Linked DNA regions of Canis lupus familiaris. Each later gene encodes a partner of the first gene's protein in a complex. Links are inferred from orthologs where the notes say so. Each region holds a gene or a part of one and is shown in the gene's direction. Other genes may lie near its edges. The genes, in order: ARL1, ARFIP2 and GOLGA4.

Region 1 (5,282 bases):
TCTTTAAAGAAAAAGTTTTTGATCAAATTGCCAACAGGGTTTTTATTTGTTTTTTTTTTTATCACATTGTTTCCATAGGGACTTGTAATTAGGTGCTTAATACACATTATGAAAGGCTAAAATGCCATTTAATAGCATTAATAGTGCTTTTTAATCTGCATATAGCACTTCAGTTTACACCGCATCCTCGCACAGGTCTCATTTGCTTATTTCGCTCAGAACATTCAGTGCAAATATAAAATTTACAGCGTAAACTTTCCTTTTAGTTATCCCAAAGGGAATTTGTATTTTCAGAGAACTATGTGCATTATGCTGGCAACTTAAATCTGACATGGGCAAAATTTGAAGTGGCAACGGCCAAGATTTGCCAAGTGGCAGTAGCTAATTTTGGCGAAGATACGGACCTGGAGGCAGATGAAGAACAGGTGAAAAGGGTCCATGGAACCTGAGCCCACTTATGTCCAACACCTTGGGACGATGGAATACTTACAAAGCACAACCTTAAAAAGGTCCAGGTGTTTAAATACAGAGTCGCTCAACTGTCTCCTTCTAAACAACAACAACAAAGAACAAATAAAGCCAAACTTTTCCTTGCGAGTAAAGTTTCTGTGAATTTATGATTTAGAAGCGGGGAAGAGAGGCAAGGGCAATAGGCAAGTCTAGTTCAATGCCTAGGCAGCTGGAGAGGTTTAAAAATTGAAGTAAAAAAAAAAAAATAAAAACAAGTCAATGAACTTCTGTTGAATGGATGAAAAGCTCTGCTTTAAATAAAAACAAAATAGGTAAAAATTATATTTGTAAGGAGACCTAAGAAAGGGTTTACAATGGTGACTTCTACGGAGAACTGTGGGATCTGAGGCTAGGTATGGGTTTACTTTTCTGTGTACCTTTTCGAGTTTTTAAGATACGCACCCTCAACCTTTATAAAGATTAGGAGAATCCCTTCTTTCCATCGTCCAAGCGTCGCTTCCTTCCTCCCAAAACAGTTTCCTATCAAGAAAACTCTCAACAGACGCCCCTCGAGCGAGCGAACAGGTCCTCAGTCCCGTTGATCTGAATCAGGTCGTTCCTTACTGCCGACCCAGATACGAGGCCAGGTGCTCAGGTGGAAGACAGGGATGCAGGGCTCTCACGCGGACGCTACGACCCTACAGGCCACCGCGCCTCCAAAAACCTGCGGCAAGCCGAGGCGGCTCTAAGGCTGACTCGCATTGGCGGCGCGGGGCTGTTCCTACTATTATTACGCAGTCTCACTTCCGTGCGGGAGAAGGCACCCAGAGAAAGGTGCTTCGCCCCCGCAGGGCGCTGGACGACCTGCAGTTAACTCCTCGGACGCTGCACCCGGTGTCTGCGTCCCGTTGGGCGGCTGCATCGAGGCCCAACTCGAATTCTTGGGTGGCAGATTCGCCACTATCGGGTGTCACAATTTAAAAGGAAAATTCGAATTTCCCCATGTTGGAAGCCCTTTCAGTACAAGAAAACAGAAACACGAGAGATTTGGGGTCCTTGAATATTTTTATCTTCTGGCTTCCACCCAGCGCGCCGCGGACTGTCGTCGAAAGCGACGACGCGGACGCTCAGGTCGCCGTTGCTGGCGCGTAGCCGCCGCGGCCCGTCGCTCCCGCCCCCGCCGGGAGTCCGACGTGGAAGTTGCTGGCGGAGCGGACTTCCAAGGGATCCGCCTGGAGCCGGAGCCGGAGCCGGAGGCCGGAGGCCGGGGCGAGCAGGGGCGGCGGCGCCGAGGCTCGAATAGCAGTCGCTGCCGAGGCCGGGGCCCGTCTCTGACCACCGACGAGGGCGGACAGGCGGTTCATCATGGGTGAGGGTCCGAGAAGGGCTTCCGGGAGCGCTCGAAGGGCTGCGGCTGAGGGCTGGGATCGCGGTCGGGGGGCGCGGGGGCGGCGGCCTGGGAAGCCCAGAGCAGCGAGCTTTTCAGGGGCGGATCCTTGAGGACTGAACTTGCCGCGGCTCTTCACCTGTGGCGCTGGACGCTGCCTTGAGTGTTCGCCCCTGCCCTCGCTCTTGTCCCCTTCACCTCGGAGGGGTCAGGGGGTACGGGCTCTGCTGCGGCCTGGGAACCCAGCCCCGAGTCCTTTCCCCTGAGCAGGAACTTCTCCGTCACCTCCTCCGACCCCCCTCGACTTGGGGCAGGGGGCAGAGTTGGCCTTGCGAGGCTTGGCGTTTGCCAGTCGCAGGTGCGCCGAGGGATCTTGCGTGACAGAGGAGGTCTGACCCCGCAGTGGAAGCCTGGTTCTCTCTTCTTGGACCCTGGGATTGCAGCAGTTAAAAAAATCCAAAGGGAATTGTTGCTCATATTTTATAGACCACTTGGCATTTGCCTGTTTTCTCTGTAGCTTTTCATGTAGATAACATAGTTAAGGTGGAAAAAGGGAATGGGGACGGTACTGGTCATTATGGGTCAGTGAATGAGATTTTTTTTTTTTTTTTTGAGGATCTCACTTAATTTTATTAATTTATTTTTAATAATAAATTTATTTTTTCAATTTTTCAGTTTGCCAACATACAGAATAACACCCAGTGCTCATCCAATCAAGTGCCCACCTCCCAGTCACCCCCACCCCCTGCCCACCTCCCCTTCCACCACCCCTAGTTCTTTTCCCAGAGTTAGGAGTCTTCCATTTCTAATCTCAGTATTTGGAGTGCTGGCTGAGGGCACTCCCTTGTCATCACAAGTGCCAGCAGTACCTAGCTTCCCTCCCTGCTGCAGCCCGGACGAAGGTGCAGTGTTTTTAACTGGTTTACAACTAACTGGACACATGATGCAAATTCTTTGGCCTATTTTTAATTCCTTTACGATTTTCTGGGGGATTTACTTCCTGCCCTGGAATATCACAAGCACTTTACTTTTTTCATTTCTGTCTTCGGTATTTTGTTTTGTTTTGGTTTTCATCGAAGATTTTATTTTTAACTAATCTCTACACCCAAGATGGGGCTCGAATTCAATCAGCAGTTGCAACCTTTGCAGCTCCAGTCAGGCACCCCAAGTTCTTTTCTTTTTACGGTGTAAAAGGTAGAAAAGATTTTAAGTTATACACCTATTACACTTTCCCAAAGTTCTCTGGCCTGTGGTGTCTTCATTTCTCCAGACTTGGATTCCTTAATTGTGCCATTTCTTTGTCAGATAACCATGTATTGCATGTAGCATCATTTTTGTTGTCTGCTGTTTTTTTATATTGTTAATGTAACTTCCTTTTATTCTTCTCTAATGGCTTTTAGTGTGGAAGGGCCAAAGTGCTTTCTTCTGGCGATCATAAAGAAAAAATGTATTTTAAAAAAGCTTCTGGGGCGCCTGGGTGGCTCAGTTTGTTGAGCCTCTGACTCTTGATTTGGGCTCAGGCCATGATCTCGGGGGTCATGAGATTGAGCCTCACGTTGGCTCGTGCTGGGTGTGCAACCTGCTTGGGATTCTCTCTCTATCCCTCCCCCTTTGCCCCACACCACCCTTGGGCAAGCTCACTCTCTCTTACTCAAAAAAAAAAAAAAGCTGCTTTCTTTTGTTGTAAAAAGAATAATAAAGATTCTAAATCACTAACTCCCCTCTTAGGGAATTTTTATTTAAATACAACCCAAATGAGTCAACACATAAATCTGTTACCAAGAAGCCCTGCTGAAACAAAGGATAATTTTAATTTTTTTCCAGATTTCTTGAGGTATGAATGACAAAATTGCACGTATTTAAGGGGTACAATATGATGTTTTGATATACATTGTGGAAGGATTACCACAATCAAGCTAATTAATACATCTGCCACCTGAGCTTTTTTTGTATTTAGTGAGAACACTTTCAGACCTACTCTCTTAGAAAATTTCAAGAAAAAAAAAAAAAGGAAAATTTCAAATATACAGTATGTTGATTTTTTTTTTTTCTTTGTAGTTACCATGCTGTTCATTGGGTCTCCAGAACTTACTCATTTTATAAGGAAAGTCAGTTCCCTTGTTTGACATCTCTCTCCTTTTCCCCACTCCCCCAGCCTCTGAGAACCACCATTATATTCCACAATACCTTACGTATAGGAAACTTTTCTGGAAATATTTCATGATACATTGAGTGAAGCTTTATTATTTTTTTAAATGAGTTTTCTCTCAAAAATAGGTTTTGTTATTTTGGGCTTCTGTGTCTCAATTTCTTTTGCAAGTAGTATTACAGAGAAATCTCAGTGATTGAAGGTAGTTAGGATGTTGGTTGTACAGTGATAATAATTGCTTTTCACATGTGAGGACCTCATTGTTTCATTGTCCTTTCGATTTGTCGTATGGTGTTTGGGGGTTGTGAGATCACGCCAACGTATCCATATTCTCATGAGCTCATGAGGGCAGTGGTTCTGTTTCTCTTATTCTGGAATATATCTTCTGTGCCTTCCTGACACAGTATGCAGGACATGGTGACAATCAGTAATTATTTGTTTGATGTTGATTAATATATATCATTGAGAGCAAACTTATGTACCTAAGTTTTGAGGAAGATATTACAGCATTATTTAATTTGGTGTAGCTTTCAAAGGGCAAGATTAAATGTTTTGTGGGCTTAGTTTACAAAATGATGTTTTTCTTTTATTATTTTTTTCAGGTGGCTTTTTCTCAAGTATTTTTTCCAGTCTGTTTGGAACCCGGGAAATGAGGATTTTAATTTTGGGATTAGATGGAGCAGGAAAAACTACAATTTTGTACAGATTACAGGTTGGAGAAGTCGTTACTACTATTCCTAGTAAGTATTGGTATGATAAACTAATTGTAGGGTTTTTTTTTTTCCATCTAACATAACTTTATTTCTGATAAGTAGTTCATATAATGTAATTTTATTTTTATTTATTTATTTATTTTTATATAATGTAATTTTAATATAGTAGAGTTTGTAAACTTCCAGTGTGGGCATAATATTAATTACATTATTTTTCATAAATTTAGAGGCAATTTGGAAACCCTGTGCATGGCTGGGTTTTGCTGTTTAGAGCTTTTTTTTTTTTTTTTTTTTTAGAAGGTTTTATTTATTTGACTGAGAGAGAGAGAGAGAGCCTGCAAGCGAGCCCGTGCACACACCAGCAGGGGCGTGACAGGCAGAGGAAAGGCCTAGGGACAAGCGGGCTCCCTGCTGAGCAGAGAGCCAGAGGTCAGGGTGGCGCTGGGCTGGATCCCTGGACCCTGGGGTCGTGACTTGGGCCAAAGGCAGCCACTTAACCAACTGAGCCACCCAGGAGCCCCTATTTAGAGCTATTTTTAAAGTTAGCTAGAGTTAAGCCACTTAATCTCATTGAGAGCCCATA
Region 2 (5,465 bases), on another chromosome or scaffold:
AAGTTCCCCCTTTCTGACTGCTCCTGAAGACAAGCACACAGACCTTCTTTGTGTAAAAGCTTTACTGCTCATCCTGGGGAAGACAGAAAATAATAAGAAAATAACAACTTGGGAAAATGGCTGAAGTTCCAGAACACCCCGAAATCTTACAGGTTTCATTTCAGTTACGGGGCTACTGACTTTCCAGAAGGCACTGCATACAAAAACCCTGTGATTTCTTGATCTGTTATTCTTAGGTATCTCCTCCTTCCCCTAAATTTAGGAGAATTCTTTAGAGCCCATGAAAAGAGTTATAAATGAATGCACACCCAGCTCACAAATAAACCATTAAGTCAGATTTAAGTGAAGGACAACAAGAAGAGCTCTTATTTTCTCTGCCATCTGGGCAGGAACCAACTTCCTATTGCTATTACTAACATTAAAATCGTACCACAGGGGTGCCTGGGTGCAGTTGGTTAAGTGTCTGTCTTTGGCTCAAGTCATAATCCCAGGGCCCTGGGATCAAGCCCCGCATCTGGCTCCCTGCTAGGCCCGGAGTCTGCTTCTCTCTCTGCCCCTCCCCCTGCTCATTCTCTCTCTCTCTCTCACATAAATAAATAAACAAAATCTTTAAAAAAAAGAAAGAATTAAGTAAGATGCACCTGGGTGGCTCAGCCATTGAGCGTCTGCTTTTGGCTCAGGGTAGGATCCTGGGGTTCTGGGATCAAGTCCGGCATCGGGCTCCCCACAGGGAGCCTCTGCTTCTCCCTCTGCCTATGTCTCTGCCGCTCTCTGTGTGTCTCGTGAATAAATAAACTCTTTACAAAAGAAAAAATTGTACCCACAGGCCTTGTTTTAACCAGGTGCCAGGAAATGTTGAGGTTTTCCTTCTACACATAGAAGCCAATTTCTCCACTGCCAGGGCTGAAGCCAACAGATATGCGCTGACAGGATAAAGGATGGGGCCAATAAAGCGGGCAAAGCTTCCGTGCCCAGAACATAAATCAAACAGTGCAAAAGTGGGTTTATTGGCTCCAAGAAAAGGAGCAATACTACCCAGCTGTCAGACAACCCCTCACTCTATATATGGGCTGCATCCAGCCCAAGGTCCACTGGCTCCTTCAGTTTGAGGGTCCATCCAGCGCCTCCCTTCCTAGCTGCCTGATGGTGAGGTTCCGGGCTGTTCTGCAGCAACACCTGGCCCAGCTGAGGCAGCCTCGTAGTCTGCGATGCGGCGCTGTACCAGAGCCGGCATGAGCTGCACGTAAGCGGCCATGAGGCGGTGGTTGGAATGGATCAGCTTCCCAGCACAGCTGTGCAGACAGGCCTCCTGGAAGGAAGACAGGGTGAAGCATTGGTGTCCACTGGTGTCCGTCCCATCCCTGGCCCAGGGGCAAGGGTCATGGAAAGGCCCGGGCCAGAGGTAGGGGCGGTGGAGGTTGGGGACAGTCTACGGCGAACCCCACCTAACCTCTTCAGCGTCCAGAGCTCGGTGGTGCAAGCTGGGCACGCAGCGCTGGAAGCAGAGTTCCGTCATCCGATTGTAGACCAACAGGAAGTCCCGCAACTAGGAGAGAAGGGGACAAAGAGCCCAGCGATAAGGGGGCACCTCGAGGCCGCGCCCTCGAGGTTTCCCAGGACGGCGCGCCAGAGCGCGACGTTCCCAACCCTCCGCCCTCCAGCCAAACGGACGAAGATGCCAGCTGAACTGATGGCCCCGTCGCGACTTAGCACCCACTCACGTTCCTCAGCTGCTGCTGCTGCTGCTGCTGCTGCTGCGGCTCCATCGCGCCACCGGCGCACGCACGTCACTTCCGCACAGCCTCTTGGTAACGCCCCGGAAGTGACCTCTCCTGGCTCCCCGGGGACTGAGGGGTTGCCTCAAGGATCGCCCCGCCCCTGGCTTTAACGTCATCTCCGCCCTTATAGTCTGCGACGTGGCCGGCTTCTTCTGCCCGGGAGGGGACGTCACTTCCGCCGAGTCCCTGACCTGCTGCTAGGATCGCGACGGGAACTGGAGCCCGAGGTCCCCGCGCGGCCCGGGCCTGGCGCCCTGAGGGGAAGAGCGGCCCGGCCCGAGGTGAGAAGGACATACTTGGGCAAGGGGAAGTTGAATGCACGAGCCTGCCCCGAGGGAAAGATGCTACAGAGCCCTGGGGAAGGATGAGGACACACCTGATGCCCAGGTGTGGGGTGGGGGGGGGGCGGGGACTAACACACCTGGGGGACATAACTGACTTTGGAAGGGATCACTATGTGCTGGGAAAATGTGGCTTTTCCCAGAGGCCAAGAACGGACACCAACTGATTCAACTAGGGCCTGCAGGGGGAGGGCTGCAGGAGGAGGGGGTGCATGGGATGGAGGAGGGAGAGACCACCTGAAGGAAAGGGGAAGCAACCCTAAGGGAGTGTGAGAGGCCAAGCAATGGAGAACATACCAGAGCGGGAGGAGTAGGCTCCTGAGCCCTGGAAAGGGGTTAATCTGATGGGAGGAAACAGCTGCATGGGGGTAAGTTCCAAAACAGCACAGACTTTCTCTCCCTTGGCCACTGCTGTGACCTCAAATAGTAGTCTGTTGAATGGTTGAACGCATGAGTGATCACCTGAGTCCTGGTGGGGTTGGGGGTCCGTGAGAAGATACTGGGGACCTGGGTGTGCATGTGGAAAGATACACACCCTGGAGGGGAGAAATACATATCTACGAGAAGAAAGGAGTGGTGGCCGAACCCCAGGATACTCAAGTCTTGGGACAACCTCTAAAATCTCTGAAATGGTGGGGGAGACTTTTCTTTCGGGAGTACTGGCTAGTTTCCAGAACTGTCTGTGTTGGGCTTTGCAGGGCGCTGGGGTGGAGACTTTGACTCCAATCCCTTCCCTAGCCATGACGGACGGGATCCTAGGGAAGGCAGCCACAATGGAGATCCCCATCCACGGGAACGGTGAAGCCGGGCAGCTTCCTGAGGATGATGGGCTGGAGCAGGTGCTTCTGTTTGATTCTTCTCCATATTGTTTCAATTTAGGAGTCCAAAATCATAAGCCCTGGGCTCTCACCCCATTCCAGGAGTTTTCCCCTAACTTATCTAACTCCCTCCAATCTTTACATATCTTCATTCTGATTCTATGCAGACTTCCCTTGTGTGCTCTCTCTGTGATGCTTCAATCCAAGCTTGTTCTCACCCCCCAAATGCTTCAGCTGCCCCAATGTTCCTGAAGCCCCCCTCTTCTCTGGCCTATAGGACCTCCAGCAGGTGATGGTGTCAGGACCCAACCTCAATGAAACCAGCATTGTGTCTGGTGGCTATGGGGGCTCTGGTGATGGACTCATCCCCACAGGTATGAATGATCAGAACAGGACAGGAAGCTTGAATGGACAGAGGGAGTGGAATGGTTCTGGGGAGTATAGGATATGCCTAAGATAGCTTGAACTATGTCTGGAGATTTTGGGAACTCTTGCTAGTACAAGCCCAATGGACTCTACTCAGCCCAAGGCTAGAGCCTAGGGCTGTCCAACTGCTCCCGCTTGCCATTTAGCCCTGAGATGTGTCCATTTGTCCTTTCTTTGCTGCCACCACCTGAATCACATTACGAACTGTTTTGCAGAAGTTCTCCTGCTTTGGAGCTTGAGACTTATTTGGAACTCTGAAGCTTCTCAAAGTTTTGCTTCAGATTCTCAAGTTTAGAGAAGCAAATAGCCCTGAATTTCACACTGACTAGGATTCCACATGAGAACGTCAATGAGATTTCCTATTGTCAGGAACCCACCATCCTTGACCTGCCACCCAATACTCAGCATATTTTCTTCTGTTTTCTCTGCCCCTGTACATCAGCAACTCCCTCCCTCCCCCCACTCCAGCCCCCATCACCATCTCAGGAGGAGGCCAGATATATATTGGGATTTGGGTTTCAGGGCACAAGGTATGAGTTCTTCCTAGTGAGTAGGAGAATTTCTAGTTTCTGCTACTTCAGAGAAGTCATTTTCATGGTGGGAAGTCGGTGGAAAGTCATTTCATAGTGGGGTCGGTGGGAAGTATGGGTGGAGCCACAGAGATGTCTGGTTATATCAGAGAGGCTGGTGTCAAAGAACTTGGTTCTTTAGGGTCTGGCCGCCATCCATCTCACAGTACCACTCCTGCTGGCCCGGGAGATGAGGTGGCTCGGGGCATCGCTGGAGAAAAGTTTGACATCGTCAAGAAATGGGGCATCAACACATATAAGGTGGGATTTAAGCACCTTTCCCTTTCCCCTTCCCCAGACTTCCCCTGGGTACCTTTTCCCCATCTTCCAGATTCCACTCTCCCATCCTTGTCTGAGACGAGGAGCCTTGGGATGCTAGGGTAGATACCTGTTGGGGGGGCAGGGTGCTAGGGTCTCTGACCTATTCCCCCACTTCCCAATCAGTGCACAAAGCAGCTGTTATCAGAGCGATTTGGCCGAGGCTCCCGGACTGTGGACCTGGAGCTAGAGCTGCAGATTGAGTTGCTGCGTGAGACGAAGCGCAAGTATGAGAGTGTCCTGCAGCTGGGCCGGGCACTGACAGCCCACCTCTACAGCCTGCTGCAGACCCAGCATGCACTAGGTGACGCCTTTGCTGACCTCAGCCAGAAGTCCCCAGAGCTTCAGGTGCCTTGGTCAGGCCAAAGAGGGTGGGGGGACTGGGCCCGGGCCCTCCCAGGCAGTCAGCCCTCAGCCTCCCTCCCTCCCTCCTGCAGCCCAGAGGGAGAACCCCTCCAGGGTAGGCCCAGCCCTACCCCCAGCAGCACTCACCTGTGGAGGCAGCCTAAGGGTTTGTACAGAGGTTCAGAAGTTGGAGGGGTGGGGGAGGCGGCACACTAGATGCCTCACAAGTAACCCTTCTCTGCATCGGTGCTCGGCCTAATCAGAGCCCCCCTCCCCGCCCCTTGCCTGCTGCACTAGCTTTCCCTGTTCTCGTCCTGTGAACTTATCTGAGAACCCACTCCCATACTCCTACCCCAGCCATCCCCGGGGTGGCCCCAATAACTTTCTGGCTAAGAGAGCCTTGCTGGAGCAGTCCTTGGTTGTTCCAGTTTTGATGGCTCTTTCCTTCTGGGGGAGGAGGGGAATGAGGGCCCTATAGCTTTAGTTAGGTAGGAATTGTTGCTCAAGGCCTATCCTCCCCTTCTGCCCTCAGGAGGAATTTGGCTACAATGCAGAGACACAGAAGCTGCTGTGCAAGAATGGAGAGACACTGCTAGGGGCTGTGAACTTCTTTGTCTCTAGCATCAACACTTTGGTCACCAAGACCATGGAAGACACTCTCATGACTGTCAAACAGTATGAGGCTGCCAGGTGTGGGCACCAGCAGGGCCCAGGGTTTTGGGAGTTGGCTGGCATGGGTGGAAGTTTGAGGTCATAAAAATTGTGGAAGGAAAGGAGAGTATGTGTGGAGGACACAGGGGTGGAGACCAGCCTGTATCACCCCTTCCCCAGGCTGGAATATGATGCCTATCGAACAGACTTAGAGGAGCT
Region 3 (4,723 bases), on another chromosome or scaffold:
CATCAGAGGAGCACTTGGCACAATTGCAGCAGAAGTTGTTGGACTTGGAAGCAGAAAGAATTCTTCTTACTAAACAGGTAGCTGAAGTTGAAATGCAAAAGAAAGATGTTTGTACTGAGTTAGACACTCAAAAAATCCAGTTGCAGGATTTAATGCAGCAACTTGAAAGACAGAAAAATGAAATGGAGGAAAAACTACAGTCTTTAACCCAATGTTATGAGTCCCAGCTTAAAGATACTAGCACAGAACAGGCACAGACAAAACAGAGTTTGATAGAAAAGGAAAATGTAATTTTACAAATGAGAGAAGGACAGAGCAAAGAAATTGAAACACTTAGACAAAAATTATCAGCCAAGGAGGACAGTTTTAGTGTTTTACATGAGGAATACGAAACCAAATTTAAAAATCAAGAAAAAAAGATGGAAAAAATTAAGCAGAAAGCAAAAGAGATGCAAGAAACGTTAAAGAAGAAATTACTGGATCAGGAAGCCAAACTTAAAAAAGAGCTTGAAAATACGGTTCTAGAGCTTAGTCAGAAAGAAAAACAGTTCAATGCCCAAATTTTGGAAATGGCACAAGCTAACTCTGCTGGAATCAGTGATGCAGTATCAAGACTGGAAACAAACCAAAAGGAGCAAATAGAAAGTCTCACTGAGGTACATAGACGAGAACTCAGTGATGTTGTATCAGTCTGGGAAAAGAAACTTAATCAGCAAGCTGAAGAACTTCAGGAAAAACATGAAATCCAATTACAGGAAAAAGAGCAAGAGGTAGCAGAACTAAAGCAAAAGATCTTCCAATCAGGGTGTGAAAAAGAAGAGATGAACAAGGAACTAGCCTGGCTGAAAGCAGAAGGCATTAAGCAGGACACAGTAGTAAAGGAATTACAGGAACAATTACACCAGAAGTCTGCTCATATGAATTCTCTCTCACAAAATGAAATGAAACTAAAAGCACAACTTGAAAAGCTGGAGGTTGACTTGAATCATTCTCTGAAGGAAAATACTTCTCTTCAGGAGCATATAGTTGAACTGGAAATGCTAGCAGAAAAAGACAAGCTGAAGGTTTCTGAGTTGACTGACAAGTTGAAAACCACAGATGAGGAATTCCAGAGTTTGAGATCTTCACATGAAAGAAGTGAGAAAAGCCTAGAAGACAAAAGCTTGGAATTCAAAAAACTATCTGAGGAATTAGTAGTTCAGCTGGATATTTACTCTAAGAAAACTGAAGCCTTGTTACAAGCTAAAACAAATGAGCTAATCAACACGAGTAGTAGTAAAATTAATGCCATTCTCTCTAGGATTTCCCACTGTCAGCACCACACAACAAAAGTTAAGGAAGCACTAGTGATTAAAACTTGCAAAGCTTCTGAATTAGAAGCACAGCTTAGACAGCTAACAGAAGAGCAGAATGCACTAAATAGTTCTTTTCGGCAGGCTACCCATCAATTAGAAGAAAAAGAAAATCAAATTAAGAGCATGAAGGCTGACATTGAAGGTCTGGTCATGGAAAAAGAAGCCTTACAGAAGGAAGGAGGCAACCAGCAACAGGCTGCCTCTGAAAAAGAGTCTTGTATCACACAGTTGAAGAAAGAGTTATCAGAGAACATCAACGTTGTCACACTGATGAAAGAAGAGCTTAAAGAAAAGAAATCTGAGATCAGCAGTCTTAGTAAGCAGCTAACTGATTTGAATACTCAGCTTCAGAACAGTATCAGCCTGACTGAGAAGGAAGCAGCCATCTCATCACTAAGTAAGCGATATGATGAACAACAACAGGAATTGCTGGGTCAGGTGCAAGATTTATCTTTGAAAGTTGAAACTCTGAATAAAGAGAAGACCTCTGCTCTTGAACAGGTAGATCACTTGTCCAACAAATTCTCAGAGTGGAAGAAGAAAGCACAGTCAAAATTTCTGCAGTATCAAAGTACTATTAAAGAATTGCAGATGCAGCTTGAGTTAAAAACAAAGGAAGCCAGTGAAAAGGATGAACAGATACAGGTATTGAAGGAGGACCTTGATCAGCAGAATGAGAGGTTGGTATGTTTAAAGGGTGAGATGGAAGATAAGAAGAGCAAGCTGGAGAAAAAAGAGTGTAACTTAGAGACTGAGTTAAAAACGCAAACAGCAAGAATTGCGGAATTAGAAGAGCATCTTACTCAGAAAACAACTGAAATTAAGTCTTTAAGTGAAGTTCTTAACAGTTACAATCAACAGAAGGATACAGAACAGAAGGAGATGCGTCAGAAACTTCAGCACATTCAAGAATTAGGAGACGAAAAGGACTGCAGGGTTAAAGAAGCCGAAGAAAAAGTCTCAAGACTTGAAAAGCAAGTGTCATCCATGAAATCTGAGCTTGAAACCAAGAAGAAAGAATTGGACCATGCGAATTCAAGTATGAAGGGCAAAGAAGAGGAGTTTAAGGCACTGGAAGATAGACTTGAGTTAGAAAGTGCTGCAAAATTAGCAGAACTGAAGAAAAAAGCTGAACAAAAAATTGTTGCCATCAAGAAGCAGTTGTTATCTCAAATGGAAGAGAAAGAACAGCAATATAAAAAAGACACAGAAGGTCACTTGGGTGAGCTAAATACAAAATTGCAGGAGAAAGAAAGAGAAATTCAGGTGTTGGAAGAAAAACTTAAATCAGTGGAAGGTCTACCACAGTCAGAAGCATCAGTTGTACCCACATCAGTAAAATACATGGTAGCCTGTGCTGAGCAAGGAATAGATCCCGAAAGCTCTGTGCAGAAAGCATATGAAGAAAATATCAGTACTTTACAAAGAAGTCTAATGGAAAAAGAAAAGCTGTTGCAGAGGCTAGAGCAGGAAAAAGAAGAGATGATATCTTCTCATTCTGAAATGCAGTGCAGATACCAGGAACTCTTAATAAAGATAGAGCACACCGAAGCTAAGCAGCATGAAGATCAAGTTATGATAAATTGTCTTCAAGAAGAACTTGAAGAAAAAGGCAAGAAATATTCCTTGGTAGCATCCCAGCATGTGGAAGAAGAAGGAGGTAAAAATACCATAGGAACAAAGCAAAACTTGGAAAATGTGGTTGATGATGTCCAGAAAACTCTCCACGAGAAGGAACTAACTTGTCAGATCTTGGAGCAAAAGATAAAGGAGCTAGATTCCTGCCTAGTAAGAGAAAGGGAAGGGCATAGAGTTGAAATGGAAGAGTTGACCTCAAAATTTGACAGATTACAGGCTTTACAACGACAGATGGATGAAAAAAATAAACCCATAGAAGCTTTGGAAGAAAGTGCTGAAGAAAAGTCCAAATCACATGTAGTCCAACCCATATTGCCTGGTAACATGGAGGTCCAGCACAATGACCTGGAATTTAAATTAGCAGGGGCAGAGCAGGAGAAGCAGAAGCTGGGCAAGGAGATTGTTAAGTTGCAGAAAGATCTTCGAATGTTGCGGAAGGAGCATCAGCAAGAATTGGATATCATGAAGAAAGAATATGAACAAGAAATGGAAGAGAAAATCAAGTAAGTTTTCCAGCATGAATATTTATTTATTGAGTGAGTGAGTGAGTGAGTGCAGGGAGAAGGGAGAGGCAGAGGAGAAGGAAAGAGTGAATTTTAAGCTGCACATCGAGTCCAGTGTGGAGCTCGATCTCATGACCCTGAGGTCATGATCTGAGCTGAAATCAAGAGTTGGACACTTGTGATGCCTGGGTTGCTCAGTTGGTTAAGCATCTGACTCTTGATTTTAGCTCAGGTCATGATTCAGGGTGGTGGGATCGAGCTCCATGTTGGGCCCTCTGCTCAGCACAGAGTCTGCTTTTCCCCCCACCTCTTCACCCCCGCTTATGCTCACTTTCTCGCTCTCAAATAAATAAAATCTTTATTTTTTAAAAAGATTTTATTTACTTATTCATGAGAGACACACACACACACACAGAGAGAGAGAGAGAGAGGCAGAGACACAGGCAGAGGGAGAACCAGGCTCCATGCAGGGAGCCCGACATGAGACTCGATCCCGGATCTCCAGGATCATGCCCCGAGCCAAAGGCAGGCGCCAAACCGCTGAGCCACCCAGGGATCCCCTAAATAAAATCTTTAAAAGCAAAGAGTCGGACACTTAACCAACTGAAGTCTCCCGGCATGAGTATTTTTAAGACAGTCCTTTTTAATTAAGTCTTTTTATTATGCCTAATGCACCTAAATTTCACCTACCCAAACTATGAAACATAAGTCAAGTACATTAAATGCTGAGAAGAAATAAAAACAATTTAAGGCAAGAGGCAGTGTTACTTCATGTCCATTTAGAGGGGGAAAAACCATTTTTTGCATATACAATTATTAGGTACGTATCCCAGTAATTACTTTGTTTTACTGTTTTTAGTATCAGCATTGTTATCATGTAAGATAGATGTATATGATGAAAAGTTAAAGTGGAAAAGAAGACTTCTCAAATCCCCAGGACCACTGTCTAGAGATAATCATAGTTTCTGTATCCTTCCAGGAGTTTCCTGTCCCTAGACCACACATATACACATATGCACCCCTTTTTTTTTTTTTTTAAAGATTTTATTTATTTATTCATGAGAGAGACAGAGAGGGAGAGAGAGGCAGAGGGAGAAGCAGGCTCCATGCAGGGAGCCCAATGTGGGACTCGATCCCAGGTCTCCAGGATCAGGCCCTGGGCTGAATGAAGGCTGTGCTAAACCACTGAGCCACCCGGGCTGCCCCCACATATGCACCCTTAAACAT

The links.
Region 2: the proteins of ARL1 (region 1) and ARFIP2 are in contact, whole or in part, in a crystal structure (PDB 4DCN), measured with the Homo sapiens proteins. The link is inferred for Canis lupus familiaris from reciprocal best matches to the Homo sapiens genes ARL1 and ARFIP2. Residues at the interface, in NP_001168.1 of Homo sapiens: Glu17, Arg19, Gln38, Ile46, Ile49, Gly50, Phe51, Asn52, Val53, Glu54, Thr55, Gln64, Trp66, Ile74, Tyr77, Cys80, Tyr81; in NP_001363487.1 of Homo sapiens: Phe205, Thr212, Lys216, Thr217, Asp220, Asp278, Ile281, Lys282, Phe285, Leu286, Glu288, Asn289, Lys292.
Region 3: the proteins of ARL1 (region 1) and GOLGA4 are in contact, whole or in part, in a crystal structure (PDB 1UPT), measured with the Homo sapiens proteins. The link is inferred for Canis lupus familiaris from reciprocal best matches to the Homo sapiens genes ARL1 and GOLGA4. Residues at the interface, in NP_001168.1 of Homo sapiens: Ile49, Gly50, Phe51, Gln64, Trp66, Ser73, Ile74, Pro76, Tyr77, Cys80, Tyr81, Ser83, Glu115; in NP_002069.2 of Homo sapiens: Thr2173, Glu2174, Glu2176, Tyr2177, Lys2180, Val2181, Glu2184, Glu2190, Thr2193, Lys2196, Val2197, Thr2200, Val2201.

The regions. Positions count from the first base shown.
Region 1 is NC_049236.1:40,690,741-40,696,022, reverse strand, and holds the start of ARL1 (ADP-ribosylation factor-like protein 1), read left to right. Parts: upstream 1-1,604; 5' UTR 1,605-1,815; coding exon 1,816-1,819; intron 1,820-4,588; coding exon 4,589-4,726; intron 4,727-5,282. UniProt on the Homo sapiens protein: GTP-binding protein that recruits several effectors, such as golgins, arfaptins and Arf-GEFs to the trans-Golgi network, and modulates their functions at the Golgi complex.
Region 2 is NC_049242.1:30,302,772-30,308,236, reverse strand, and holds the start of ARFIP2 (arfaptin-2), read left to right. Parts: upstream 1-1,908; 5' UTR 1,909-2,059; intron 2,060-2,817; 5' UTR 2,818-2,859; coding exon 2,860-2,958; intron 2,959-3,214; coding exon 3,215-3,311; intron 3,312-4,074; coding exon 4,075-4,193; intron 4,194-4,376; coding exon 4,377-4,598; intron 4,599-5,127; coding exon 5,128-5,285; intron 5,286-5,426; coding exon 5,427-5,465. Other genes in the region: TIMM10B (mitochondrial import inner membrane translocase subunit Tim10 B), read right to left, coding at 1,133-1,309, 1,451-1,546, 1,722-1,766. UniProt on the Homo sapiens protein: Plays a role in constitutive metalloproteinase (MMP) secretion from the trans Golgi network. May have important functions during vesicle biogenesis at certain cargo subdomains, which could be predominantly utilized by secreted MMPs, such as MMP7 and MMP2.
Region 3 is NC_049244.1:7,426,978-7,431,700, forward strand, and holds part of GOLGA4 (golgin subfamily A member 4), read left to right. Parts: coding exon 1-3,496; intron 3,497-4,723. UniProt on the Homo sapiens protein: Involved in vesicular trafficking at the Golgi apparatus level. May play a role in delivery of transport vesicles containing GPI-linked proteins from the trans-Golgi network through its interaction with MACF1. Involved in endosome-to-Golgi trafficking.